Oryctolagus cuniculus: one gene and its partners. The protein of the gene in region 5 purifies or fractionates together with the protein of the main gene of each other region. This does not show direct contact. Links are inferred from orthologs where the notes say so. Each region holds a gene or a part of one and is shown on either strand. Other genes may lie near its edges. The genes, in order: SNX9, PLEKHJ1, AP2A1, RAB1A and OCRL.

Region 1 (5,084 bases), on a different chromosome or scaffold from region 5:
CATTGGCTGAGAGCGTGACATTGGCTGAGGGACACTGTGACATCGGCTGAGAGAGTCAGTGTGACATTGCCTGAGAGACACAGTGTGACATTGGCTGAGAGACACAGTGTGACATTGGCTGAGACAGTCAGTGTGACATTGGCTGAGACAGTCAGTGTGACATTGGCTGAGAGAGACAGTGTGACATTGGCTGAGAGAGACAGCGTGACACTGGCTGAGAGACACAGCATGACATTGGCTGAGAGAGACTGCGTGACATGGGCTGAGAGACACAGTGTGACATTGGTTAGGTCGCTCTTCTTCTTCTTTTTTTTTTTTTTTTTGAAAGATTTGTTTATTTATTTGAAAGGCAGAGTTACAGAGAGGCAGAGGCAGAGAAAGGTCTTCCATCTGCTGGTTCAGTCCCCAAATGGCCACAACAGCAGCTGGAGCTAAGCTATCTGAAGCCAGGAGCCTGGAGCTTCTTCCAGGTCTCCCACATGGGTGCAGAGGCCCAGGGACTTGGGTCATTTTCCACTGCTTCCCCAGGCCATAGCAGAGCTGCATCAGAAGTGGAGCAGCCAGGACTCAAGCCGGCACCCACATGGGATGCCCGTATTCCAGGCCGCGGCTTTACCTGCTACATCACAGTGCCAGCCTTGGTTAGGTCAGTTTTAAAAACATGCAGCAGTTGGGATTTGTGGATGTGTATATTTGCATGGAGGCATAAAAAGGCGTGGGAATGGATACACTTCTGGGGAGGAAGGGGAAGGGGGAGGAGCTGGGTCTGATACTCTTTGCTGCCTTTTGCAAAATTCCCAAGCAGATGGGGCAAAATAGTAAAGTTAGGATGATGCCACATTTTGTGCTGTTCTACAAATTTAGGGGAAAATTACTTAACATTGTTTTTGATAAATTTGTTTGGATTTTTTAGCACTCCTTTTATTCAGTTGTCATGTTGTTCATTACTGAATTGAGTCATAGTTTTGAGAATTCACAAATATCCTTTCTCCTTTTCCTCCCACAATAGGTCAGCGGTGGCAGTGACCCCTGGTCATCCTGGGGTGCCTCCAAATCTGGGAACTGGGAGAGCTCAGATGGCTGGGGGGCCAAGCCAGAGGGGGCGGGTGCCCAGAGAAATTCTGCCAACAACTGGGACGCTGCCTTTGGCCACCCCCAGGCCTACCAAGGACCAGGTAAGGAAGGGGCTCCTGCCATAGTGACTGATAGGAAATGGCATGGGAGACAGAAAAGCCAAACTGTCTCCACTCCTTCCATACACAGTGCAACCGGAGGACCTCTGTGATCACACCCCACACACCGTGCACTTCTCCAGGGCACAGCCACAGTATGACTGAGTCCTGATGCCACTTGCCTGGAGTTGTTGCAGAATCCGTGCAGCCAGCCCATCGCTAACCCAGTGCGGTGGAAGCAAGTCAGCATTCACTGCTGGCAAAGCCTGGAACAAGGCACAGGCAACCGAGGCCTGATTCTCTGGCTCTTTGAGGGGCTAGGGTCAGGAATCTTTAGTAGACAGAAGCTAGGCTCAGGGGATACGTGTCCAGCTGTGCGCAGGTCTCTGATTGGTCTGCAGTGCTTGTGGCCCTCCTCTGGTGGTCAGGGGTAGGACAGCAGCCAGAGGGTTCTTTTGGGCATTTTGCTTATGGGCAGCTGGGGGTTATGTGCAGGTGGGTGTTACTTTTTGCTCAGAGCCTGTTCTATTTAAAACAAAACAAAACAAAACAAAAAAACAGAAACAATAACCTCGAGACAGTCTGATATCAAGTTATCTGTAGAGGCGATGAATGACCTCTTGATCCTTGTGATATGGGACCCCGTCTGGCTGGCTGGACCTAATGCACCTCCCCCAATCCAGTGGGTTGATTTGCCATCTTGGAAGCAGGACAAAGAACTTTAAGGGAGGGAACCTGAGAGCCCTGGGCCTGAGAATCCCACAGCAAAGGCCTTGTGTTAGGGCTGGGTTTCACAGTTAGATCCCAGGGCTTCTCAGCTTCCATCAGTTTGCTGGAGTGGCTCACAGCTCAGGGAGACACTTTGCAGGGTTTACCTGTGTATGATGAAGGGCCCTGCACAGGATACAGATGCACGTTAGGTAAAGATGTGCATGGAGTGAGGTGTCTGGAAGGGCACGGAGCTTCCTGCAGTTGTGGGATTTTTCTGGAGCCATGACACAGGCATGACCAGTTATTAGTTGATTCTCTAGTCCCTCTTCTCATCCTGGAGCATGCGGCTGGGGCTGAAAGTTCCCAGCTTCTAATCATGGCACGAGCAGCCCCTGTGTAGAAGCCCACCAAGAGCCACCTCCTTAGAACAAAGGAAGTACACCTACCACCCCTGTGGCTCAGCAGATGACGGGAGATTTAGGAGCTCTGCCAGGAACCGGGTGCAGAGACAGAATAACTAGTTCTTGTTATACCACAGTATCTTACCAGGTCATTGGAGTTAAAAATAGATTTTATTTTAAAGAACTGCTCAGAAGTGCTCTTTTTCACTGACAGCAAACCAGGATCCAAATGTAGTGATTTTCTGGATCCAGACGATGATAGTCACTAATGACAGTCTTTAGTTCCATCTCACGTTATCTGTCAAGGAGTCACAAATTGAGCCATAAAGTAAAAGAGCAAGACAAGGCTGCAGCAGACTGGAAAGTGCCTCCTGTCGGCGCAGCCTCCCGCTCACAGATCGCTGCGTTTGGGAGAAAGCTGAGTGAACGCTCTCATCACCAAGACTGGAAATCTCGGTTGCTGTAACATCTCAGCAACTAACACATTTGTTTCAAAATCTTGACCAGATGTTAGCGTTTATGCTAGCAATTAATACGCAGGTTGGGATGCCTGTGTCCCGACTGGAGTGCCTGGATTCAAGTCTCAGCTCTGCTCCTGATTCAGCTTCTGCTAGTGCACACTCTGGGGGGTACCAGGTGATCCCTGTCACCCCTGGGGGGACCATGATACAGTTCCTGGCTCCTCCCTCTCAAAAAGAGATTTGGCTCACTGCTTTTCAAAAACCTTCAGCTGAAAGCTAATGCAATATGGTCTGTCACCTGCTGGTTTGCGGCCTCTGTGTTAGCCATTTTATCTTTCCCTAAATGACCTGTTTGACTCCTAGACTATTAATAGAAAGCCTCAAACAGAACAGAAATTTACAGAAGAGAACCAGTTCAGAAAGTCACATCAGGACGGGGTGTATTTCGCACGATGGTTGAGATGCTGCTTGGACATCAGCATCCTGAATCAGCGCCTGGATTCAAGTCCTGGCTCCGCCTCCCGTTCCAGCCTCCTGCTAATGTTCACCCCCAGAGGCAGCAGGTGGCGGCTCAGGCGCTCGGGTCCCTGGCTCTTACCCACCTGAGAGAATCAGCCTGAGTTCCTGGCTCTGGGTTTCAGCCTGACTCTTGCAGGCATTTGGGGAGTGAACTAGTGGATGGAAGATCTGTCTCTCTGCTTTTCAAATAAAAATATGTATTTTAAAGATTTGTTTATTTTTTTGAAAGTCAGAGTTAGAAATCTTCCATTCACTGGTTCACTTCCCAAATGACCTCAGTAGCCAGATCTGGGCCAGGCTGAAAACAGGAGCCAGTAACTCCATTCTGGATTCCCACATGGGTGGCAGGGGCCCACGTGCTTGGGCCATCATCCACTGCCTGCCTAGGCACAGAATCAGGAAGCTGGATCAGCAGCAGAGTAGCCAGGACTCAAATCCGACCCGAGATGCTGGCATCTGTTGCAAGCTGTAGCTTAGGCCACCGCACCACAACGCAGGTCCCTCAGCCCAGACAGGAGCTGCTCTCGGAAAATGCCATCATTTTATTTTTCTCATTTTGTTTTTCTTTAATGATGATCACTTCTGTTCCCACCTCTAGCAACTGGTGACGATGATGACTGGGACGAAGACTGGGATGACCCCAAGTCCTCTTCCCCTTACTTTAAGGATTCGGAATCCTCGGAAGCAGGGGGCGTCCAGCGAGGAAACAGTCGTGCCAGTGCCTCTTCCATGAAGCTGCCCCTCAACAAGTAAGCGTGTGCGGGGCCCGGTGGGCCCAGGGCCGGCTCTTCCTCTGCGGCGGTCTCTCTCTCTCTGGGGCACGACTTAGTCTTAGTTTACAAGGTTAATAACTGAAATAATTATTTTATTTAATAATCTGCCACTTGTATTTTTTATTTTATCAACTCCATGTCAATAGGAAGTTTCATTTCTGATAGTAGTGGGAAACATAAGCATATATAGAAAGCTAAGCGAAACTAAAAATAACAACTCTTTAACAGCGTTTTACGTTGTAACAGTCACTTCCATGTGAGGGGTCGTACAGAGTGGTTGTCTGCCTGTGTCCCCACACGCCCTCTGTTGTAGACTCGCGGTTTCGCTGCGGGACACAGAAACCCAGCGCGGCTGGAGAGCCCTGCGCTCACGCAGCAGGCCGTGCTCCTGTCGGGATCCCAGCTCCTCGGCTCCAGAGCACAGCTCTTAGCTCAGCTCTTTGTTTCCACTTAGATTCTCTTCAATTAAAATGTTTATTCAGTAGTCCTTGCAAATCTGCTTAATAAGGAAGCGTGAGGAAAGAGTGAGATGGACATTTATTATTTATTATGTTTTGGGGTCTTATCAGATGGCATCTCGAACTAGTCAGATTTACTTACTGTGCTTTGGGTCTTTTCACTACGGAGTAGTTTCTGAAGGCACTTCCAAAAGAAAATGGCAGGGATGCTTGCGAACAGTGGCCGCTTCTCTGGGGTAATTGTGCCTTCCAGAGTGTGGCGAGAGGCGGCCTTAGTTTGTACAAATGCTGATGCGTGGCCATCGCCCCATGTGGCCACTCCAGTTGGTTTGATGAGTACTCACTGCCCCTGTGAATTCAGAGACTCTCAAGGAAAGGGTGCTGCTCCCTTCTCTCTGAGTGGGGTGAGTTCACTGAGAACCCATAAATATCGCACCTTCCGGAGTCAAACTGCCCTTTGCAACTGACCATGCCTAATTAAATTACTGACTGGCTCTTGAGCCGTCTGATTACATCAGGTATTGTTTACCATGGTTTCCTAGATCTGGTACACCTGAAAGAAAAAACACGGTTAAAAGTGGCTTGTTCA
Region 2 (5,705 bases), on a different chromosome or scaffold from region 5:
CCAGGGCTGGTGTCGGGCGGCCCCGCCCCCTCACCTTTGTAGCCAGGGCGTCCGATCTTCACGAACTTCTTCACCTCCACCTTGACCTTCTCGGGCGCGGGCTGGGCGGGCGCCTCCTTGGCCTCCTTGGCTGCGCGCCGGGCCCTGGGGCGGGGCAGACGGGCGCTGTGGTCCTCCACACCAGGCCAAGGCCACGGGCGCAGGTGCAGGAGCCCCCCTGCCCGGCCTTGGGCTCCCGCGGGGGGGGTGAGGGGCGGGGCCCTGCGGCTGGGGGGCGGGTCAAGGGGCCCTCCCCCGTGTCACAGCCGGGGGGCGCGGGGGGCACTCACAAGTTGGTCTGATGCTTCTTCCCTTGAGTGTGTGCGAGGTAGCTGCCCTGCGTGGAGGAGGCGGGACATGAGGCCGGGGGCGGGGCCAGGCCGGTGGGCGGGGTAGCGGCAGGCGGGGTGGGGGAGGACCAGGCCGAACAGTGGACAGGGCGGGAGGGGGGGACCAAGCCGGCCGGGGGGTGGGGCAGCGGCAGGCGGGGGTCAGGCCGGGGGCGGGGGGATCAGGCCGGCTGGGGGCGGGGCCAGGCCGGTGGCAGGCAGGAGCGGGGGACCAGGCCGGCCAGTGGACAGGGCGGGAAGGGGGGGGATCAGGCCGGCCGGTGGAGGGGGGGGGCCAGGCCGGCCGGTGGGCGGGGCGGGGGCGAGGGGTTCAGGCCGGCCGGTGGGCGGGGCGGGGGCAGGCAGGGGCGGGGGCAGGGTACCAGGCCGGCCAGTACCTCGTTGTTGTGCAGGGTCAGGCACAGCTTGCACTCGTAGGAGCCCAGGTGGTTCTTCATGAAGTAGGGGTCCTGGGGGAGAGCGGCGCGGGGCGTCAGGGGCGTCAGGGGCGTCGGGGGCGTCGGGCGCGTCGGGGGCGTCGGGGGCGCCCCGCGGGGGGGCGGGCGGGCGGCCCTACCTTGTTGATGTCGATGGTCTCCAGGGCCAGCTGCCGCAGGCGCTCGCGGCGGTCCCGGTTGCTCTCGGAGGAGGAGGCCACGCCCCCACTCCCGGTCTTGCCGCCGGGGCGGTGCTGGAAGTCCATGGTGCCGGCCTGCGGACCTCAGCGCCGGAGAAGCCTGCGGAGCCCAGACCGGGGGGGGCCCTCAGGACGCGGCGGGGGCCGGAGACCCCAGGAGGCAGCCCCCAGCCCCTCCCGGGCGCACCCACGCGGGCTCTCCCGTGTCAGCCGCCGGGCCCAGCCGCGGGCGTCGGGGAGAACGGGGGCGCGGACGACCGCCTGGCGCCCCCCCGCCGTCCACTCCCCAATGCCCCTAAGCCAGGGCTGGGCCTCCCCGTGGACGGCAGGGGCCGCTCGGGCCCCATTCGGGCACTGGCCCGAGTCCTGGCTGCCGGCCCGGGCCCCGCACCTGCTCTGACCCGGCCCGGCCCGGCCCGGCCTCCGGGGACTGGACCGGCGGGAGGAGACCCCGCCCCTGCGACCCCGACTTCCGGGCACGGCGCGGGCGGCCCGGCTGACCCCAGGGCGCTACCGGGCCCGCCCGCGGTCCACGCACGAGCCGCCCCCGGCTGACCCCAGGGCGACCCGGGCCCGCCCGCGGTCCACGCACGAGCCCTGGCGGCCCCACAGCCCCTCCATCGGGACGCGAACCCAGGACCTCAGGGCTGGGGGAGGGGGAACCACGCGAAGGGACAGTCGGACAGCGGACCGAGGGGAAGACGCGGCCCCGGGCACGCAGGCTTGCGGGAGGGAAATCTAAGACGCAGCCGCATCGCCGTCCGCACCCGGGACGCCCCGCAGCCCCCCGGGCGCCCGCGACCGACCCCCACGACGACAAAGGCGCCAGCGGGGGCGGCCTCGGGGGTCCCGGCGGCTTTTGGCGGGAACGCCGGCACGCACCCCCGCGCGCGGCCCCGCGGCCCGGGCCCGCCCCGCCGAGCAGCCGAAGGCCCGCGGCCGCTCCCCGGACCCCGGAGCCCGCCCCGGACGGACGCGAGACCCCCGCGACCCCCGCGACGCCCGCCGCGGAGTTCCGGAGGGCCGGGGTCGCCGTGGGGCCCGCCGCCCGCCCCGGCCCCTCCCTCCCGCGCCCCCAGCCCACCCTGGGCGCCCCGGGGCCCCGATGGCCCCCGCGCCTACTTCGTGTGGGTCGCGCCCCGCGTCGCAGGCCTCCGCCGTCCGCCTCAGGAGCCGCCGCCACGACGTCGCAGTGCGCACGCGCGGCGCGGGCGCTCGCAGCACTTCCGGAGGGAGGACGGGCCCTCGAGTGTGCGCATGCGCGTGCCCGAGGCGCGCCTGCGCACAACGCGCTCCGCGCGCGCACCCGCGTCGGCTCTTGGGGGCGGGGGCGGGAACCGGTAACGCCCCGTCCGCCCGCGCTCGGCGGTCCTTCGATCCTGCTTGCGCCTCAGACCCACTTTATTCCGCGGCTGTGTCGCGGCTGCCCGGCGTGTACCCACGCCCCAGCACGCCGCGGTCGCAGCGCGCAAGACTCGCCCGTGGCGCGCAGGCGCAATGGCGCTTCCGGGGCTCCGACCTGGGATCTTTCTGGCGCGAGCGGGGACGGCGGCCGAGAGGGCTCAGAGCTAGCAGCGCGCGTTCCCGGTCCCGGGCAGCGCCGGCGCCATGCGCTACAACGAGAAGGAGCTGCAGGCGCTGTCCCGGCAGCCGGCCGAGATGGCGGCTGAGCTGGGCATGCGGGGCCCCAAGAAGGGCAGCGGTGAGCGGGCGCGGGCGCGGGCGGGGGCGCGGGGGCGCGGGGGCGCGCGGCCGCCCTGAGCCCGCTGTGTGCCCGCAGTGCTGAAGCGGCGCCTGGTGAAGCTGGTGGTGAACTTCCTCTTCTACTTCCGCACGGACGAGGCCGAGGTGGGCGCGGGGCGCGGGGCGCGGGGGCGGGGCGCGGCGCGGGGCGCGCGGGCGCGGGGCGGCCCCGCTCACGGCGCGTGTGCCCGCAGCCCGTCGGAGCCCTCTTGCTGGAGCGCTGCCGGGTCGCCCAGGAGGAGGCGCGGAGCTTCTCCATCGGTGAGTGCGCGGGCCGGGCGGGGCGGCGCGGGCGCGGGGCGGGCGCGGGCACCCACAGCGGCCGCTCCCGCAGGCTTCCTGGAGGACCCGGAGAGGAAGTACGTGTTCGAGTGCGGCAGCGAGGAGCAGTGCCGGCAGTGGACGGAGGCGCTGCGCAGGGCCAGGTGGGGCCGGGGCGGCGGGGGCGGCGGGGGCGGCGGGCGCGGCGGGCGCGGCGGGCGCGACGGGGGCGGCGGGCGCGGCGGGCGCGGCGGGGGCGGCGGCCTGACCCCGCGGGCACGGCCTCTCCCGCAGCTACGAGGTCATGCGGAGGAGCCTCATCTTCTACCGGAATGAGATCCAGAAGATGACGGGCAAGGTGCGGGGGGCGCGTGCGGGGCGGCCGGGCGGGCGGGGCTCCCGGCCCCGGGCCCCGGGTCACCGCGTCTCCCCGCCCGCCGCCCTAGGACCCCCTGGAGCAGTTCGGGATCTCCGCGGAGGCCCGCTTCCAGATCAGCAGCCCGCCCAGCGACGGGCGGCCGGCGGGCACCGGGCCCGGGCCCGGGCTGGACGCGCTGGACTGACCCCGGCCCGGCCGAGCCTGCGTGGGAGGGGTTCCTGGCGGAGGCGGGGGCTGCCCTCTGGGGGTCCCCGCCCTGCGAGGCCCCTCCCCGCGGCACCGGCCGTCCTGGACCGGCTGAATGTAGAGCGGAGCTAGACCGTGCTGTGAACGGGCCGGGGCGAGCCCCAGGGTCCCCGCGCTCAATAAAGGGGCCTCCTTTTCCAATCCCGGTGGTGGTGGACTTCCTGCGGGGAGGGGCGGGAGCCTGCAGCGCCCACCCCCGCGTCCAGCGGCCCCGCCCCCAGGAAGCAGCACTGGGCAGGTTCAAGTGAAAATGTCTCTTTATTAACAGCGGCTGCAGGTGGGACCACAAAGTGCAGAGCGACCCCCGGGGGGGCCGTGACAGTGAGCACAGAGCCGACCACGGAGCCCGGGCGGGGGCGCAGGACGGGGTCCTGCGGGAGATAAATAACGGGGGTGGGTGTTAAATAAGTCGCCGTCCTGGGCAGACGAGGGGAGCGCCGGCGGGGGCGGGGGCGGGGGCGACCTGACCGATTCCTGAGCGGAGCCGCCGCCCAGCAGCTCGGCTCGACCTGGGCGCGGCTGCTCGGTCAGCTCCCCGCCGGGCGCGGGCACGCGGGCGGGCGGGCGGGGGGTACAGTGTTTGTCTCAGGAACGTGCATTGTTCTAGACCGGGGACCTGCGTGTGTGACGTCGCTACTGTCCACCGAGGGGGGCCCCCGGCTCCCCCGGCCGCGGCCGGCGTGGGGCGCAGCACCTATGAGCCAAGAGCACCGAGGGGGGTGGGCCGGCGTGAACCGGGTCCGAGCACCATCTTCAGACTTCACTATTGCTGGGGGCGGGGCCGAGGGGCGGAGGCCGGGCGGGGTCCTGGCCGGCCCGCCCGCCGCTGCCCCCAGAGCAGGCCCCGCGCCAGTGGTCCCTGCGCGGACAGTGGCCCTGGGCTGCTGCCACAGTGTGCACTGAATAAATAGAATTTCCCCTTGCTCTGCTGTACACCTGTACACTCTAAGTTCGCTGTGCGTCATACAATCTAAAAATAGATGCCGTCGCGTCTCTGAACGTACAAATCTCATCCAGCTATAAAATACTGCCGCCGGCCGGCAGGGGGCGGGCCAGGGCCCGGGACAGTAATGCACTTGTCGCGCGGGCGGGCGCCCTGCGGGCCGCGGCCGAGCCCCGGGGAGGGGGAGGGGAGGGGGAGCCTTTGGTAGGGGGGCTGCAGCGGTCAGCACCGAGGGGCGGCCGGCGCGCGTCGGCTCATCCTGTTCCCCGCAGGGCTCGGGCGGCGTCCGTCGGTCGGGGCCGCTGCGCACAGTGCACGGGGCCGCCGTCCCTCCGCGCCCCCCCGCCGCCGGCGTCCTTGGTCCACGCCGTCCTTGCATAGGTCGCGGTTGAGGTAGAAGTCCTAGTTACCTGCAGGAGGGCACAGGAGGCGGCGGCGTGAGCGCGGAGCCGGCGGGCGCGGGCACGGCGTCGGCAGCAGCCCCGGCCCCCGCCCTGCGCGCCGGCAGCCGGCCACAGCCACCCCAGGCCCGGGCGAGGCCTGGAGCCCAGCACGACCCCAGCAGCCCGGCTCCTGCCCCGTGCGAGCCAGCGCCACGTCTGGGGGCGGGGCCGCGGCAGCGGACGCTGCGGCTGCCACCCGCGCCGCCTCCGGGCCGCCTGCCTGGCCCGCCACGTGCCGGGCGCTGGGCCCGGAGCCACGCGGACACCCGCTCAGCCAGAGCCCACGTGGGCAGCGCCGCGCGCCTCTGGCACAGGGCAGAGGGGGGCCCGGCCGACCCCAGCAGCGATGCGGCGGCGGGCGCCCAGGCTGGGCTGCCTCGCTGCCTGCCACCCGGCCTCGGGGGGCTGCCTACGACCTGTCCACTGCCTGCCCGCTGGGGCCGCACGGCCACGCCCCGGGGCCCGGTCTCCCTGCGCCCACCCCGGCCCTCCTGCAGAGCCCGGCGGGGTCGCTGCGAGGGCGCCGGGTCGGCTCCAGCCTTACCTTACACACGCACTGCTAGCTAAGCAAGGTCTGCACGCGGCTTAACCCCCGCGAGGCGCGCGGCATAAGGAGGCGGCATGCCAAGGGAAACCCACAGAGCGGGCGGGGCCGCGGCGCCGGCCTGCGGGAGGCGGGGCGCGG
Region 3 (5,084 bases), on a different chromosome or scaffold from region 5:
GGTTCACTCCCCAAATGGCCGTAATGACTGGAGCTGAGCTGATCCAAAGCCAGGAGCCAGGAGCTTCCTCTGGGTACCCCACCCGGGTGCAGGGGCCCAAGGACCTGGGCCATCTTCTACTGCCTTCCCAGGCCACAGCAGAGAGCTGGATCGGAAGTGGAGCAGCCGGGACTCAACCCGGCACCCATTTGAGATGCCAGCACTGCAGGTGGCAGCTTTACCTGCTACACCACAGTGCCGGTCCCTAATTTATTTATTTGTTTAATATTTATTTGTTTAATTGAACGACAGAGTTACACAGAGAGAGAAGGAGAGAGAGAGAGAGAGGTCTTCCACCTGCTGGTTCACTCCCCAGATGGCTGCAACAGCCAGAGCTGGGACAATCTGAAACCAGGAGCTTCTTCTGGGTCTCCCACGCGGGTGCAGGGGCCCAAACACTTGGGCATCTTCTACTGCCTTCCCAGGCCACAGCAGAGAGCTGGATCGGAAGTGGAGCAGCCGGGTCTCAAACCAGCGCCCATACGAGATGCCGTCAGTGTAGGTGGAGGTTTTACCTGCTACGCCACAGCGCCGGCCCCTCCACAGAGGTTGAAGTCAAGGCCAGGGAGGTGGGCTGTGGCCTCTGCTGGAACTGCTGTGCGGATACCTGTCCGGGGCGGCCCTGTCCCAGTAGCTACTCCGCGGCCCGCGGTGCGGTCACGATGTCATCCACTGGCGTTTCCACGCAAGCCCTTGAAGGAGCTGTGTGGCCCTGCTCAGGGTGGCGTGGGTCTGTGTCCCCGCCCTGGCGCCGGCCCTGCCCCCAGGTGCTGGCCTCCCCGGTGCACTGGTGCTCTCGTCTTTCAAGGTCCTCCTCAAATGTCCTGCCTGTCCCCAGGCCCCGGGCAGGGCCTCACAGCCTCCGTCCCTGGACGTCTCGCCGGGGGGCTCCCGGGGCTCGCTGCCTGGCCCTCACTGGGCCAGGTCCTTGGAGGCAGATCAGAAGTGCCCGGCTTGCCTAGACCCTGGGCCTGGCCGTGCGGCCCCCGCAACCACGCAGTTAATACACGGGGCTCAGACGGCCCCTGAGGCGACAGAGCTGCACCTGCCGTCCCCTCCGCCTTCCAGCCCCTTCTACGTGCCTAGACTGCTCCCCCAGGAGGGGCGCAGCCTGGCCCTGCCCTCGGGCCTCCGGGTCTGCTGTGGGAGGCAGGGAGACCCACGTGGCCACGTCGGCTCTGGTGTGGGCCACAGGCGGCGTGGGAGCCCCGAGTAGGGCCAGCACAGCGCCCCCGTGGGAGATACTGTGAGAGCCACCCGTGAACATGAATTCTCCCCTCCCCCGTAGCCACGGTTTTTAAGTAGAAACAGGAAAGATTCTTCGGAAATATTTATTTGTAATTATTTGAACAGTAGAGAGGCAGAGGCAGAGAGAGAGAGTGCGTCCATCCACTGCTTCACTCCCCAGATGGCTGATAGCCAGGCCTGGGCCAGAGGTCAGGCCACGGCTGCACGTGGGCGGCAGGGACCCAGTCCCGGGAGCCGTCAGCCCTGTCTGCGTGGTCTGCGCAGCCTGACCCCAGGGGCGCCAGCGTGGGAAGGAGGTGTCGAGAGCGAGGCCAGATGCCCACCCCGGGCAGAGGTAGTTTTAATAGTGTGTTTGTGTTGTTTGTGTGACCCAGTTCTGGTGCGTGTACTCGGCATTTGAAAGCTGCCTTATTTTAAAGGTGTATTTATTTTTTTGAAAGGCTGAGTTAGAGAGATTAATCCATTGTCTCTCCACTGGTTCACCCCCCGGATGCCCGCAGTGGCTGGAGCTGGGCCGGGCTGGAGCCAGACGCTTCTTCCGGGTCTCCCACGTGAGTGCAGGGGCCCAGGGACTTGGGCCATCCTCTACTGTTTTCCCAGGCCATCGCAGGGAGCTGGATCGGATGTGGAGTAGCTGGGACTCGAACCAGTGCCCATGTGGGATGCTGGCACTGCAGGCGGCGGTTTAACCCGTCACCGCAGCGCCGGTCCCCGTGTTTGAAGACCGAGTGCGACGTTTGCGTCTGTCCCCGACGCCGCCTTCCAGAGCCCGCTGTCCTTGCTGCCTGCAGCCCTTCTCAGCGTGAGCAGCCGTGTCTCAGGCCTCGGGAGCTGCCTGGCTGACAGTGTGCCTCCAGGACTCCCTGGGACCGCGGAGCCCTGCTCAGGGACTTCCCGGAGGAGGTGACACCGGGAGTGAGGCTTGTGGGAGTTGGGGGTGAGGCAGGATGGTGCCTGCTTGCCCGTTCATTCATTCAGGAGGTACACACCGCACCTGGCTGTGGGCTAAAGGATGAGATTGGCATAGGTGTGGGCCAGAGCAGGCCGCTGCCCGTTAGATAGCCAGACGTTTAAAGAGCACCTGCCGTATGCCAGGCACTGTTTCAGGAGCTACTGCCTGATGTGTGCGCTGGGCGGGAGCCGAGACAGAGGGAGAGACAGTGATTACGCAATGTGAATGGATCGATCTGGCCGGCGCCGTGGTGCAGCGGGTAAATCTGCTGCCTGCGGAGCTGGCATCCCATGTGGGCGTCGGTTCAAGTCCCGGCTGCTCCACTTCCGATGCAGCTCTCTGCTATGGCCTGGGAAAGCAGAGATGTCCCAAGTTCTTGGGCCCGTGCACCCACATGGGAGACCGAGATGAGTTCCAGGTTCCTGGCCCAGCCCCGGCCCTTTGGGGAGTGAACCAGCAGATGGAAGATCTCTCTTTCTGTAACTCTGCCTTTCAAATAGATAAATAAATCTTTGTCAAAAATATGAAAAAAGAAATGGGTGGAGGAGAGCTTTTAAAAACTTCTCCAAGCGGAATGATAAGGAATTGTCCTCAGAGAGGTGGGCAGGACAGGCCTCTTGGAGGAGGTGACGGGCCCTGCGGGAAGACCACTGGGAAAGTGGCCCCGCGAAGCGGGCTCAGCACAGGCGAGGGCGCGGGCAGGGAGGAGCCGAGAGTACTCCCAGGGTGGGGGGGGGAGGCCGGGCCCGCCGCAGGGCCAGGGGGCTCAGTGGGCTGGGGGTGGTCTCCCCAGCTGGCGTCCTGGGAGCCCAGTGCACAGGGCCAGGAAGGGCAGGGCGGCTGGGTTGATCTGGGTGGTGTGGGCAGGGTGCTCACCTTGGGGCTGCCGGGGGCGCATCCTGAAGCTAGAGCCGGGGGGCAAGGCGACGGCTTCGCTGGGGGACGAGGACGCCGGCTGCGTTTGGAGGAGCTGAGTGTGCCACGGAGTGACGTGTGGCAAGAGCGGACCTAGCAGGCTGGAGGGTGACACAGCACGCAGCGGGGGTGGCCAGGACCAGGCACCGCGTGGTCGGAGTGTGTTGTCGGGCCCTGGGGCGCACGGGTCACGGAGGCGTCGTAGAGCTGCGCCAGGAGGGGGCATGCCCAGTGGACAGGGAGGAGGAGGAGGCTGAAGGCCAGGAGGCAGGAGGAGGGGGAGCGGGCTCTGACCTGGTGCCTGGGTGGTGGGTCCTGCGGCAGCTGCAGGTTTATTGTGGCCACTGAGGGCAAGGCCAGGGCTGGCGGCGGCAGGGGAGCTCCCAGGGAGGGCGTGGTGGGAGGAGGCCGGGGCCAGCCCAGCCGGGGGCCGGCTTCTCTGGGCTGTGGATGAGTGAGCCCCTGCGGGAGATGGGGTCCGGGCTGGGAGGCTGCCTTCCAGCTGGGGGGCCGTGCCTGGGGAGGTGGGGGCTTGGGCCCCTACCACCCGCCCTGCCTTCTCTCCTCCCCAGGCAAGAGCAAGGAGGCGGAGATTAAAAGGATCAACAAGGAACTGGCCAACATTCGCTCCAAGTTCAAAGGTGGGCGGGGCCCAGATGCCTGGGTCTGGGGGCGGGGGGGGCAGGACCTGTCTGTGTGGTGGCTCCTCACCGCCGGCTCTGCCACAGGGGACAAGGCCTTGGATGGCTACAGCAAGAAAAAGTACGTGTGCAAGCTGCTCTTCATCTTCCTGCTGGGCCACGACATTGACTTTGGGCACATGGAGGCCGTGAACCTGCTCAGCTCCAACAAGTACACGGAGAAGCAGATAGTACGTGGGGGGGCAGGGGCTCCTGGGTCTGAGGGAGGAGGCAGGGGGACCTGGGCCCCTGGTGTGAGGGGCGGGGTGGGGGCCCTGGGCTCCTGGGTCTGAGGGAGGAGGCTGGGGCTGGACCCCTGGGTCTGAGGGAAGAGGGCTGGGGCTGGACCCCTGGGTCTGAGGGAAGAGGGCTGGGGCCTGGGCTCCTGGGTCTGAGGGAGGAGGCTGGGGCTGGACCCCTGGTGTGAGGGGCGGGGCGGGGGGACCTGGGCCCCTGGGTCTGAGGGAAGAGGCTGGGGCCTGGGCTCCTGGGTCTGAGGGAGGAGGGGCTGGGGCTGGACCCCTGGGTCTGAGAGAGGAGGGCTGGGGCTGGACCCCTGGGTCTAAGGGAGGAGGGCTGGGGCTGGACTCCTGGGTCTGAGGGAGGAGGGCTGGGGCTGGACCCCTGGGTCTGAGGGAGGAGGAGGCGTGAGGCCTGGGCTCCTGGGTCTGAGGGAGGAGGGGCTGGGCTGGACCCCTGGGTCTGAGGGAGGAGGAGGCGTGAGGCCTGGACCCCTGGGTCTGAGGGAGGGGCTGGAAGTGCAGACTCCAGCATCAGAGGGCTGGGTCTGGGACCACTTAGCCATGGACTCCCAGCAGCCTGCCTCCCCTCCCCCAGGGTTATCTGTTCATCTCCGTGCTGGTGAACTCGAACTCTGAGCTGATCCGGCTCATCAACAACGCCATCAAGAATGACCTGGCCAGTCGCAACCCCACCTTCATGTGCCTGGCCCTGCACTGCATCGCCAACGTGGGCAGCCGAGAGATGGGTGAGGCCTTCGCTGCCGACATCCCCCGCATCCTGGTGGCCGGGTGAGGTGCTGGGGACCCAGGGGTGCAGGTGGGGGAGGTGGGAGCCTCAGAGAGGCGTCTCCCAGCAGGGACGTGCGCCAGGGCTGGGGTGGCGCCTCAGCGGCCGGCTGCCCCCGGCTCTCGTCTCAGCAGGCGGACTTGCTGGCAGCAGCCCGGCAGCCCTTGGGAAACCAGTGTAGGAGATGCAAGCCTGAGGTCCCTGGTAGTGGCCCCCCCCCC
Region 4 (5,879 bases), on a different chromosome or scaffold from region 5:
TAAAATTTTTTTTAAAAGAATTATTTTTTATTTCTTTGAAAGACAGAGTTACAGAGAAAGGTAGAGCCAGAGCCAGAGCCAGAGAGAGAGAGAGAGAGAGAGAGAGAGAGAGATCTTCCATTCTGCTGGTTCACTCCCTAAATGACCACAACGTCCAGAGCTGAGCTGATCCTGGCCAGGAGCCAGGAGCTTCCTCAAGGTCTCCCACATGGGTGCAGGGGCCCAAGGATGTGGGCCACCTTCTACTGCTTTCCCAGGCCATAGCAGAGAGCTGGATCGGAAGAGGAGCAGCCAGACTCAACCAGCGCCCATATGGGACGCTGGCGCTGTAGGTTGGGGCTTTAACCCACTGCGCCACAGTGCTGGCACTGTAAAATTTTTTCAAAGCATGATATTGCAGGCAGCTGGAATGGGAAGCGGAGCTGGGACTTGTACCAGGTACTTCAATGTGAGACATGTGCAACTCAAACATTGTACCAAATGCCTGTTCCAGAAAGTTATTAACGTTTACCAGGTACTCCAAAGTCATTGTACCACATGCTTTACATTTTTTAATTTAATTCACATAGTATCCTCTCACTTGGGTTAAAACTTAGGAGGTAATTCTTTGTTGGATTAGGAAATAGTTACAGAAAGTGGGGAAATAGTGTATCTCTGGAATAGATGAAAGGTTGAATTTTTAGCTCAGTATGAGTGCTTGTGCACATTTGTGTTTTTACTCAGTGAAATCACAGTAAGCAGGAAGGGTCTAGGATTTTAGAGTCCAGGGTAAGAAACATTCTTTAATCCATTCAGGGTCCTTTTCCTGGAGTGGTGACCATGTTCAATTCAGAAATCAACATCATATACAGGAACTCTAGCTGACTGTTTGATGAGGCTATCAACTAAGGTGCATGGTGGGATTTGGGGGTTAGGAGTGTAGTTGGTACATGGGTAGAAGTGAAGAATTACTTTCTTCCCATATTTTGGTGCCATAGGAGTTTTAAGTGATTTTGCAATCACTTAAAGTCTCAGGAGATAATTTTCTTGGTTCTTAGAACCAGTTGGAAGATAAACTTTGGACAATGTGTTATACTATGCCCTTTGTAATTAAATAACCCAAGCAAGATAATGTGTTAAAGTTTAGTGGAGATTTAAATTCCTGAGCTGATTAAAGAGAGCTGGTAAGCCCATAAGGTTGTTTTTTTTTTTTTTTTTTATGTGTTAGTATTACTCCTGGAGTCTGTGGGCACTATATAGTGATGAATTGTACGTTTTTATCGCTTATTACTTTCCAATCTTGCTCAGAATTAAGTGGCAACTTTTAAAGAGGCAGAACAATTCAGCCTGAAGGCTGGGCCGAGAGCAGGTAGACTCAACTCTTAGGCCATGCCTGGGCTGTGTCCCACCCCTGGCTGTGGAGCCCTTGAAGGTTGTGGGGTCACGGTGGAAGCGCTGTGTGCGAATGGGCTGGGGCATAGTCCACTTGCAGGCAACTGAAATGTCCAGGCTGAGGTGACATGACAAGAGTGGGGCTGGGCCAGGACTGTAAAAATCAAAAAGAAAACGGTAGTGACCGAACCCGGGTGGGGTCGGGTGAGTGAAGAGGGCTGCGCGCAGTCCAGGGCGCCGGAAGTCCTCGGCAGAGGCCCCCGACTTTCCCGCCGCCCTCTGAGCCTACGTCCTCGGACCAGCGGCGAAGGGCAGGCCTCAAGCCCGTCGGGCCTGCGAGAACCGCGCGGGGCTCAGGGGCCGCCAGGCGCGCGCCCCTTCCCCCACGCTCGGGCCGTCCCACCAGGCCAGACCCCTCCCGCCCCGCGGTCCCACCGTGACCCCCATCCTCCGCCCCGGCCGGTACCGCCCTCTGCCTCTTCCCACCCCCTCCCCCGTGGGGCGCTGACTCGCCCGGCTGCCACGTCTCACTGGTGACATCACCGGGGCCTCTCGGCCTTAGCCAATCCGCTAGGGGGAGTCCGAGCGAAGTCCTAGCCAGCGAGTCAACGGGGAGGGGAGCAGGGAGGGGCGGAGGGTGGGGGGTGAGGGAGTGGGGAATGGAGCGGGCGACAACCGCACAAGTACGCATGCACCAGAGTCGCGGGGCTTGGCGGGAAGCGGAGTCCCGGCCGCCTTGCCGCACCGTCGGTCTTCTGCGCGTGTAGCTGCGCTCGCGACTCTCCTTCCCGGCATGCCACGCGCCGAGGCCGCCCTCCGGGCCGTGTAAAGACCCCTTGGTCCGAGGCTTCCCTATTTCCTGGTTCGCCGGCGGCCATTTTGGGTGGAAGCGATAGCTGAGTGGCGGCGGCTGCTGATTGTGTTCTAAGGGGACGGAGCGGGGGAAGACGTTTGCTCTCCCGGAACAGCCCATCTCATTCCTTTCCTTCGATTACCCGTGGCGCGGAGAGTCAGGGCGGCGGCTGCGGCAGCAAGGGCGGCGGTGGCGGCGGCGGCAGCTGCAGTGACATGTCCAGCATGAATCCCGAATAGTGAGTGCAGGAGAACACCGGTCGGCTGGGTCGGTGGGCCAGCTTGGGAAGCTTAAGCGGGGCGAGGAGGGCTGGGGCAGGGGCGCGGGCATTGGCCCGAGGGAGGCAAGGGTGACGGGGCCTTAGAGGCTTGAGGCCGGGAGTCGGGCCCCATTGTCTGACGGCGGAGGGGCGGCCGGGGGGAGGGGTCGGCCGGAGAGGTGAGCGGCCCGGGCCTCGGCCGGGTCCGCCTCAGGGCCTGAGTGCCGGGCCGCTGCGGAGGGCCTTGGGGCGTTGGGCAGTCCGGTGGCGGAGCGGCCTGAAGGGTCAGCTTCCTCCGGGGGCAGTAACTTTGGAAGGGGCATTTGTTTTTAAGGGGAGGAGAAGGGTGGGAGAGCTCCCCCAGAGGGCACTGTCAGACCCCGCGCCCGCGCTCTGCGGAGCTGTCAGGATCGCCGGGTTGGAAACCAGCTTTACTTGTAAAGCCTGAGCTTGCTGGTTCCCTGTCGTGCCACCCTCCCCGCCAGGTTGCAGGTAATATGGATGCTTCTCGGGACTGCGTGGGATTGAGGGCAAGGAGCGGAGAGATGGTGAGCAGCGATTTAAAATGCTTAGTTCTCGTTTGGAGTTATCTCCTGGAGGAGTTCTTTAAGAACTTGCCTGGTCCATCGCCCTCCCAAAGCCCTGGACATTTGGGAGAATTTGTTGTTAGAGGACACCTAAGTCATTTTGTCTTCTATAGGTCAAGGGAGGGAGAAAAAAAAAAAACAGAACTAAAACCAAGGGTACTACCGAATTGGACAAGGACTACTGTCAAGTTGAAAGAGAAACGAGTGGGACCTATGGTAGATCGTGTAGGTTTTGGATTACCTACTTGAATGCTTGTAGATAGGGAATGAGCTTCCATGACGTGTCATGAAAAGTTAATGCATTTCTTTTCCTTGCTTACTCAAGAGGTCACCACAACAGATGTGACACACCTGGCACTTTTCCTGGGAACTAGTGTTCACTTGCCTTGGGGAAGAGTTTAGTTGAGTTCTTTATGGCCCTTAAGAAAAAACACTTCCTACAGTTTACATATATGTAAATTAATGAAAAGTTGATAATTTAATTGGTATTCTTCAGCGCCGGAAACCTTTTCAGGAGGATTTCTAAAAGCAAAAATTAGTATTTGTCCCAAAAGTTTTTTTATTTTTTGCTTTGGTCAGTTACTGGTAGACATATCCCCCTGAAAAGTCAACTCTTCAGTTTAGCTGACTGTCATGTGTGTGTCACATGACTGTTGCAAAACGCATTCTGACTTCAAATTTTGTAATATTGTGGTTTGATGCTGAAATATCTTTTCGTACTAAACAGTAGCTATACGATTTTACTAGAATTTCTTACTTGAAAAATTTGCTATGTTGGCAATTTTTTCTTTATCAAGGGCTCCGAGGACAAAGTTGGTGTTACGTGGTTAGCCCGAGTTGATGTAAGGTTCCTAATTAGTGTTTATCCTGGAAGCAGTAAAGAACATGAATTTTTGGATTTGCCACTATATGGAGATTTTTTAAACCTCTGCTGTTCAGGGAGGTTCCTATATTTGCTACATATGTTTAGTACTATAAATAGACCTTGAAAATTAATTAGTTGAATGAGATTTTGAGAAATTACTCAGCTTCAGAATTTGTTTCTCCTTTTGTAAAATAGGATAAATAGGAGTCATCCTTACCAATGTAGTGGTGAGATTCAGATACTTCCAGACGAATTTGGAAAATGGTAAGAACATTCTTTTGGAGGTAGAAATCATTTTCCTGTAAGGCATTCTGATAGTGCTAGGGTTTAACAGTGCTATGGTTTTATAAGTTCCCCAAGGAACTTATAAATGGAATATAGAATGTAGATTTTTTTTTTTAGAATGTAGATTTTATGCATATCAAATGTCAGTAGATATAGCAAGTTCCAAATATGCAGTATAGATTGGAGCAACAGGATTTCAGAGGAATGTAGTGACTTTGGCTTGCCCATTGGGTTTTGGAAGACTCTGGAAAAGAAACCTGTAAGGATGTTATTAGCAGTGAGATTTGGAAGAGCAGAAAGGATCGAGGAGGATTTTTCCAGGGGCAAAAAGGAAGGATGGCCAATAAATGGCAAGGACTATAGAATTTAAGTAAGTGTAGTGCCAGATCATCCTTTCTTTTAAGAACTTTAGATTAATGATCTCAACAGAGTCAAACTTAGAAAATCTTTTTATATTTTTTTCTGGCATCTTGTTTGCCAATATCTAGCCTACTGTATTTGCATTCTGGACTGTCTATTAAAATAGTCCAGTAGTTTGGGAAAACCTTTGCAAAAGTGTTAATGAAAATATCTTAGGGTGATAGTAAAAGATGGCTATTTTAGGGAAGATCGGGGGCAACCAATAATCAGATTTTTTTTTTACCAATCTGACTTCATTGATCTCTTTTTGTCTTTAACGAAGTTTAACATTGTAAGAGTAATTGGAAAACAAAAAAAGAAAGCATTCCTTATTATTGAATACATTTTCTTTAACACCTTGTTCTAAACTTTAAAATCTTATGCTTTCTCTTAATTAACACTTTTAATGGATGAATGTCTTCCCTTATTCCAGGATTACAGAATGGTTCATTAGTTAATGTATCCTCCCAGATATTTCTTAGCTTGCTATGGATTGTTGTCTAATTTATCTTGTTCCTTTTAAAAACCTAAAAATCTGCTGTAGGATGTTGCTGAATTTGGAAGATGTTTATTGGCTGACATAAGATTACCTGTTGGTAGCTATATTTCTGAATGTTCTTTACAATATTTAAGTTTTTATTTTAGGGGTGAGGGGGAAAAATACATCAGTAGTTGAATTTTAAGCCATCCTTTTGACTGCTTTCCTTTATCAAGCCAGTTTGGGAGAAATGACCTACCCACGGTTAACATTAAGGTAGAAAGTTTGGATGATTTTCCTATCAACTACAAACGAAAGCAAGCAATTGGAAGTGCAGTCTGAAGTATGGAAAAAGTAGAACTTTGTTTTTTATGGAAATCTGAAGTTTTTTTTTTTTTTTTTTTTTTTTTTAGTGATGTGGTGAAGCAGGCAGTGCTTATTTCAGCATGCTGGTTAAGAAATGCTTAACATTATTCTCATACCAGAAGCATTTTTCATAATCCCTTGGCTTCTAGTGCTTTTTTTTAGTGTTAAAAAAATAATTTTGGCTCTCTCATCTTTAAGTAATGTTTTAAGAACAATGCGTGTGTATTTATCTTGAGTATGCCAGTAAACCAAGAAGAAGAAATACAGCAGTCTATTTGGATCAGCTGTAGTCCTGTAATGCGAAACACTTAAAATAATTAAGTTGTTTTTAGCACACACCTCCTCCCCCTTTTAAAAATATGATTCTAGGATTTCAAATTTTTTTCAGTCTAAAAACTTCTTTCTTTTTTGGCATG
Region 5 (5,713 bases):
TGACTTGGAATGTCAGATATCCTAAGTTTTGACTTACCATACATGTGTGAGAGTGTGTTTGGAGGCTCTATATTCTGTTCCATTGGTCTATCTCTATACTGTACTATTTTTTAAAAAGATTTATTTATTTATTTGAAAGTCAGAGTTACACAGAGAGGAGAGGTGGAGAGAGAGAGGTCTTCCATCAACTGGTTCACTCCCCAAATGGCCGCAACAGCCGTAGCTGCGCCAATCTGAAGCCAGGAGCCAGGATCTTCCCCCAGGTCTTCCACATGGTTGCAGGGGCCCAAGCACTTGGGCCATCTTCCACTGCTTTCCCAGGCCACAGCAGAGAGCTAGATCAGAAGTGGAGCAGCCGGGCCTCAAACTGATGCCCATATGGGATACCGGCACTGCAGGTGGCGGCTTAACCTGCTACGCCACAGCGCCAGCCCCTATACTGTACTCTTAATTACTGTAGGTTTAAAGTCAGTCTTGATACCTAGTCCATTACAGATTTCTGGAGAAAGTGGGTAACAGGATTGAAACAATACTTTGGGGGACTAGCATTGTGATGCAGTAGGTTAAGCAGCTGCTTGTAATGCCAGCATCCCATATCCAAGAGCTGATTGGAGTCCCAGCAGCTCTGCTTCCAGTCCAGCTTCCTGATACTATGACTTAGAAGATTGTTCAAGTACCTGGGCTCCTGCAACCCATATGGGGGACAGGATGAAGTTCCTGGCTCCTGGCTTTGGCCTGGCCTACATCTAGCTGTTGCAGCCATTTGGGGAGTGAAACAGCAGATGGAAAATAGCTCTTTTTCTGAGTCATTCTGCCTTTCAGATAAATTAGGGAGTCTTTTTCTTAAAAGGAAACATTACTCTGGGAAGAATATTTTTATGACTGTCAGCAAAGTAAAAAGGTCAAAGCAGAGATTAAAGCCAACAGGATTTGTTTAGGGAAAATGCTGTAACCTCAATAGGATATCAGAAGGGCTTACAGTAAGGTGATGCAGTACGAATTGAAAATCAGGAATCTAAAAGTAATTCCAAAGAAAAGGTTAACAAAAATTGTTGACAGATTAGAGACGGATATTAGGAAAGAGAAGAAAGCTATGGCTTTGAGGTTTCAATCCCCGTTAACTATGTGAAATGATGAATTAATCCTGTCACCATGTTCATTATCAGTGAGGTACATCAGGTGAGAGGTTTGGCCAGGGATATACATTTAGACGTTGCTTGCTTAGAAGCCACCTGGAGGAGGTTCAAAGTAGAAGTAAAGGTCAGCATTTTGGGGGATTTTCCAATTTATTTTTTTTTAAGATTATTTATTTGAAAGTCAGAATTACACACAGAGAGAGGAGAGGCAGAGAGAGAGAGAGAGATCTTCCATCCTTTGGTTCACTCCCCAGTTGGCCGCAATGGCCGGAGCTGCAGCGATCCAAAGCCAGGAGAGCCAGGAGCTTCCTCTGGGTCTCCCACATGGGTGCAGGTGCCCAAGGACTTGGGCCATCTTCCACTGCTTTCCGAGGCCATAGCAGAGAGCTGGATTGGAAGTGGAGCAGCCAGGACTATAACCCGCGCCCATATGGGATGCCGGCACTGCAGGCAGTGTCTTTACCGGCTATGCCACAGCACCGTCCCCTGATTTTCCAATTTAAGAGATAGAAGAAGTACAGGCATTGTGGCACATCCGGGATTAAGCTGAAGCTGCAGGCAGGGGCAACGCTAGCCTGCCGGTTCATGTCCAGGCTGCTCCGCTTCTGATACAGCTCCCTGCTAATGAACCTGGAAAGGCAGCTGAGGATGGCCCCTGCCACCCATGTGGGAGACTGGATGGATTTCCAGGGTCCTGGCTTCCGGGACATTTGGGTAGTGAACCAGCGGATGGAGAATTTCTCTGTCTCTCTCTGTAATTATGTCTTTTAAATAAATAGATAGATCTGTTTAAAGGGGGGGGGATAACCAATATGATGCATTGTATCCTGTTAAGGATTTTTTGACTAGAAGATGTGGATCCTATTGGCCCAACACGTTTGAGTTCTTTCATATATATGACAGTGTTTGGCTTATGTGGCAGTCTTCAGAGATCTCAGCACAATTGTAGTGTCACAGAAAACATGTAAAACATCCTTTGCTGGACGTTGGTGGAGACGCCCCCAGTCCGTCGGGTCTGTCGCTGCAGTTCTGCAGGTTGGCCACAGGGGGCGGAATCTGCGGCGGCCTGGAAAGCTGGCGGGGGCGCGAGGCGCCGCTCTCTCTTGGGTCAGGCTCTCCATTCCCGGCTCCCCGCTCCCGGCTCACGACTCCGGGCTCCCGGCTCCTGGCTTCTGGAGCCCGGCGCCGAGCAGTTTCTGAAACGACGCGTAGCCCAGGCGGGTGGGTGTGAGGACGCGGGAGGCAGTGTCGTCGGATCCGCCCGCAATCCACAACCCCGCAGAGCCCAGAGGCCGCCCGAATGGAGCCGCCGCTCCCGGTCGGAGCCCAGCCCCTTGCCGTATCCGCCGAGAGAAGGGGGAAGGGAGGCCGCACAGGGCGGGGGATGGGGGTCTGGGGCACTGCGGAGCACGGGGGAGCGGGAGGATCGCGGGGCCAAGAGGCCGAGCGGAGCGAGGGAGGGGTGGGTGCGGGAGGCTACGCCTAGGGGGGCGGGGGAAGGCGGCCAGCGGGGCAGGAGACTCTCCGCCCTGCACCACGCACCCATCCCCGACTGCGCGTCTACAGGAGACCCTTGACTAGCGCCCGCATACTGTGGAGGGTATGGAGATGAAGGGTCCTCTCCGCGAGCCCTGCGTCCTGACCCTAGCCCAGAGGAATGGGCAGTATGAGTAAGTAACCACCTGATTCTCACGGAGGAGGGGAGCCTGGCTTTGCCTGCCAACCCCAACCTGCGACGAGCCAGCGCCTCTCCTCCCACGCTGGCAACAGGTTCTGGCCTAGGTGTGAAGTGACAGTGCTCCTTAACCATGGGGCTTTGTCCCCAACTTCCAAGCCACTAGACTGTGCCGGGTAGTGTGGCTCGGTGGAGGGAATCACTGGGCAGGCTGCACTGACGTGGGTTGTGTAACCTTGAGCAAACCAATAAAGCTTTTTGGGCCTTAGTTTCCTCATCGGAGGAATAAAAACAAACTGCCTTACCTTTTAGCCTTTACAATGTGTAACTCACATAAGGCATAAGGTAATAACTGGGGGAATGATAAGTGCAAAAGTGCTTTCCAAAATGTAAAAGTGCCATGGAAATGCTTCATTGTTAATGTTACAGACTTGTCTTAACTCCATTCGGCTGGTTCCTCCAGTCTCCCCACCCCCTTATTCCACTTGCTTGAAGGCATATTCATTAATTCAGTTATGGGTTAGGATGGGCCATTAACTGCTGCAGTTAACTGTTGGAAAGAAAAAGTAAGGAAATGTGTAGAAATATAAGTGGGGATTTTAACAGTGTCTGTTACCTTCCACTCTGTCTTAGACACAGGAGCTCAGTAAATACTGCTGACTGATTGATCAAAAGATTATCTTGATAAGCTGTCACCAGAGCTGCCAACCTCACTCCCTTGCCACTGCTTCCTCAGCGTGAGAGTATCCATGGTGACCATTAGGCAACATAGGCTCCCTACCCCATATGCCCACCGGTTTCTTGTTTGTTTTTCTTTTTTTAAAGATTTATTTTATTTTATTTGAAAGTCACAGCCACACAGAGAGAGGGAGAGACAGAGATCTTCCATCTGCTGGTTCACTCCTCAAATGGCCACAGTGGCCAGAACTGGGCCAGGCCAAAGCCAGGAGCTTCTTATAGATCTCCCACCTTGGTAGCAGGAGCCCAGACACTCGTGCCGTCTGCTGCTGCCTTTCCCAGGCCATAGCAGAGAGCTGGATTGGAAGAGGAACAGCAGGGACACAAGCCGATGTCCATATGGGATGCCAGCACTGCAGGCAGTGGCTTTACCCATTATGCCACAGTACTAGTCCTTTTTCACTGGTTTCTTTACATCAGGTTTCTTCCTGGTTTAAAAATTGTTCATCCTTCAGGCAGGCACTGTGGCACAGCTGGATAAGCTGCTGTCTGCAGTGCCGACATCCTGTATGGGCACAGGTTTCAGTCCCAGCTGCTCTACTTGTGATCCAGCTCTCTGCTAATGCACCTGGGAAAGATGGGCCAAGTCCTTGAGCCTATCTCAAATCCTTGAGCCCCTGCACCCACTTGGGTGGCCCAGATGAAACTCCTGGTTCCTGGCTTTGCACTAGCCTGCCTCCAGCCATTGTAGCCATTTGGGGAGTGAACCAGTGGATGGGGGATAGGTAGATATCTCTCTTTCTAACTCTGACTTTCAACTAAATAGATATATCTTTTTAAAAAATTGTTGATCACTTGAATCTAGCCGTCTCTCAACAAAAAAAGAGAGGAAGAAATAGAGCTCCCATCTGCTGGTTCACTCCTCAAATGCCTGCAGTAGCCTGGGCTGGACCAAGGGAAAGCTGGGTACTCAATCCCGGTCTCCCACGTGGGTGGCAGGGACTCAACTGCTTGAGCCATCACCTGCTGCTTCCAACCGTGTGCATCGTCAGTAGGAAGCCAGAAGTCAATGCTGAAACCCAGCCACTCTGATGTGTACACCCCAACCAGCGTCTTAACTTCCAGGCCAAAATCCCACCCCTCCATCCTGTCCCACTTCCATCCTCTGTGTCTCTTGTCCAGATGTCCAAATTGCACAGAAGACATTCCCACAGGCCTAGTCTGCTCTTATTGGAGGTTGCTAGTGCCACTCTAAGTGCATGTCAACAGGTTCTGTGGAGTAGCCCTTCCCTAAGTCCTGATTGGTCAGTTCCATTCATGTGGGAAATTCACACTGTTTTCCCCAGATTTCATCAAACCTTGGAAGACCAGTTTAATGAAACTAAATTCTTCAGGAAGCTGAATTGAAAAGTGGGCTACCACTGCAACTTTCAAAGGGTAGGATCCAGTGGAGAGATGTGACCCTTGAACAAACCTGTGGATTTCTGTGCCTTGGTTTCCTCTTCTGTAAAAACAAAATTTAGAGGGTTGAATACAATAGCTGCATTGTTGAGATGACCACAGCCCAGGATCTGGTCCCTTGGTTAAGCAGATTTGGAGAATGAGGGAGTATGCGTCTGGCCTTGAGATATGTGCCTTATGTTCTCTGGCTCTTGAAGAATTTTTTAACTAGGCAGTAGCAGCTCTCCTGGCTATGTGTATTTGTAGAGAAATCAGATTCTTGTGTGCCAATTCTATATAAGGTATGGGAATATAGTAACAACTGGCAGTTAATGCCTTGATATATGCCAGGTACTGTTCAAAGCGCTTACCATTAATTAGTTCATTTAACTCTCATGTGAGAGTTATTCTCATCACCCAGCTTTTAGAGATATAGAAATTGAGATATAGAGAGATTAAGTCATTTGTTCACAGTTAAGAAGTAGCCGTAACCGATATCCGAAACTATATAACATATAGTTGTGTGTATATATATATATATATAGTTTCTTTTGGAATCATTTCCTGGAGACACCTAATACTGTACACAAGGGCACTTCAAAAAGGTTCTTGGAAATGTGTGTTATGAAAAAGAAATGTGGATTTCAAACTTTTTGCATCAATAAATTTATCTTTTTATTCCATTTTTCCGTAAACTTTTTGAAGTATCCTTACACAGTACAGTCGAAGCTCTACTGCTAATGTTCAGCACAATTTCTGTTCTCCAGATTTTGAGACTAAAATG

What was found.
Region 1: the proteins of OCRL (region 5) and SNX9 purify together in Homo sapiens (co-immunoprecipitation; 3 studies listed by BioGRID and IntAct, with this or other methods). This does not show direct contact. The link is inferred for Oryctolagus cuniculus from reciprocal best matches to the Homo sapiens genes OCRL and SNX9.
Region 2: the proteins of OCRL (region 5) and PLEKHJ1 purify together in Homo sapiens (co-immunoprecipitation; 3 studies listed by BioGRID and IntAct, counting the BioPlex papers as one, with this or other methods). This does not show direct contact. The link is inferred for Oryctolagus cuniculus from reciprocal best matches to the Homo sapiens genes OCRL and PLEKHJ1.
Region 3: the proteins of OCRL (region 5) and AP2A1 purify together in Homo sapiens (affinity purification with mass spectrometry; 3 studies listed by BioGRID and IntAct, counting the BioPlex papers as one, with this or other methods). This does not show direct contact. The link is inferred for Oryctolagus cuniculus from reciprocal best matches to the Homo sapiens genes OCRL and AP2A1.
Region 4: the proteins of OCRL (region 5) and RAB1A purify together in Homo sapiens (co-immunoprecipitation; 3 studies listed by BioGRID and IntAct, with this or other methods). This does not show direct contact. The link is inferred for Oryctolagus cuniculus from reciprocal best matches to the Homo sapiens genes OCRL and RAB1A.

Annotation. Positions count from the first base shown.
Region 1 is NC_091436.1:9,792,777-9,797,860, reverse strand, and holds part of SNX9 (sorting nexin-9), read left to right. Parts: intron 1-1,009; coding exon 1,010-1,175; intron 1,176-3,862; coding exon 3,863-4,013; intron 4,014-5,084. UniProt on the Homo sapiens protein: Involved in endocytosis and intracellular vesicle trafficking, both during interphase and at the end of mitosis. Required for efficient progress through mitosis and cytokinesis. Required for normal formation of the cleavage furrow at the end of mitosis.
Region 2 is NC_091447.1:59,108,156-59,113,860, reverse strand, and holds PLEKHJ1 (pleckstrin homology domain-containing family J member 1), read left to right. Parts: upstream 1-2,330; 5' UTR 2,331-2,613; coding exon 2,614-2,707; intron 2,708-2,785; coding exon 2,786-2,853; intron 2,854-2,942; coding exon 2,943-3,009; intron 3,010-3,082; coding exon 3,083-3,173; intron 3,174-3,303; coding exon 3,304-3,367; intron 3,368-3,455; coding exon 3,456-3,572; 3' UTR 3,573-4,567; downstream 4,568-5,705. Other genes in the region: SF3A2 (splicing factor 3A subunit 2), read right to left, coding at 35-144, 330-376, 767-838, 946-1,071; DOT1L (histone-lysine N-methyltransferase, H3 lysine-79 specific), read right to left, coding at 5,584-5,705.
Region 3 is NC_091449.1:7,764,743-7,769,826, reverse strand, and holds part of AP2A1 (AP-2 complex subunit alpha-1), read left to right. Parts: intron 1-3,726; coding exon 3,727-3,795; intron 3,796-3,882; coding exon 3,883-4,025; intron 4,026-4,671; coding exon 4,672-4,865; intron 4,866-5,084.
Region 4 is NC_091433.1:137,616,764-137,622,642, forward strand, and holds the start of RAB1A (ras-related protein Rab-1A), read left to right. Parts: upstream 1-2,013; 5' UTR 2,014-2,439; coding exon 2,440-2,462; intron 2,463-4,152; exon of another isoform or gene 4,153-4,276; intron 4,277-5,879. UniProt on the Homo sapiens protein: The small GTPases Rab are key regulators of intracellular membrane trafficking, from the formation of transport vesicles to their fusion with membranes.
Region 5 is NC_091453.1:107,239,478-107,245,190, forward strand, and holds the start of OCRL (inositol polyphosphate 5-phosphatase OCRL), read left to right. Parts: upstream 1-2,202; 5' UTR 2,203-2,436; coding exon 2,437-2,475; intron 2,476-2,726; coding exon 2,727-2,806; intron 2,807-5,713. UniProt on the Homo sapiens protein: Catalyzes the hydrolysis of the 5-position phosphate of phosphatidylinositol 4,5-bisphosphate (PtdIns(4,5)P2) and phosphatidylinositol-3,4,5-bisphosphate (PtdIns(3,4,5)P3), with the greatest catalytic activity towards PtdIns(4,5)P2.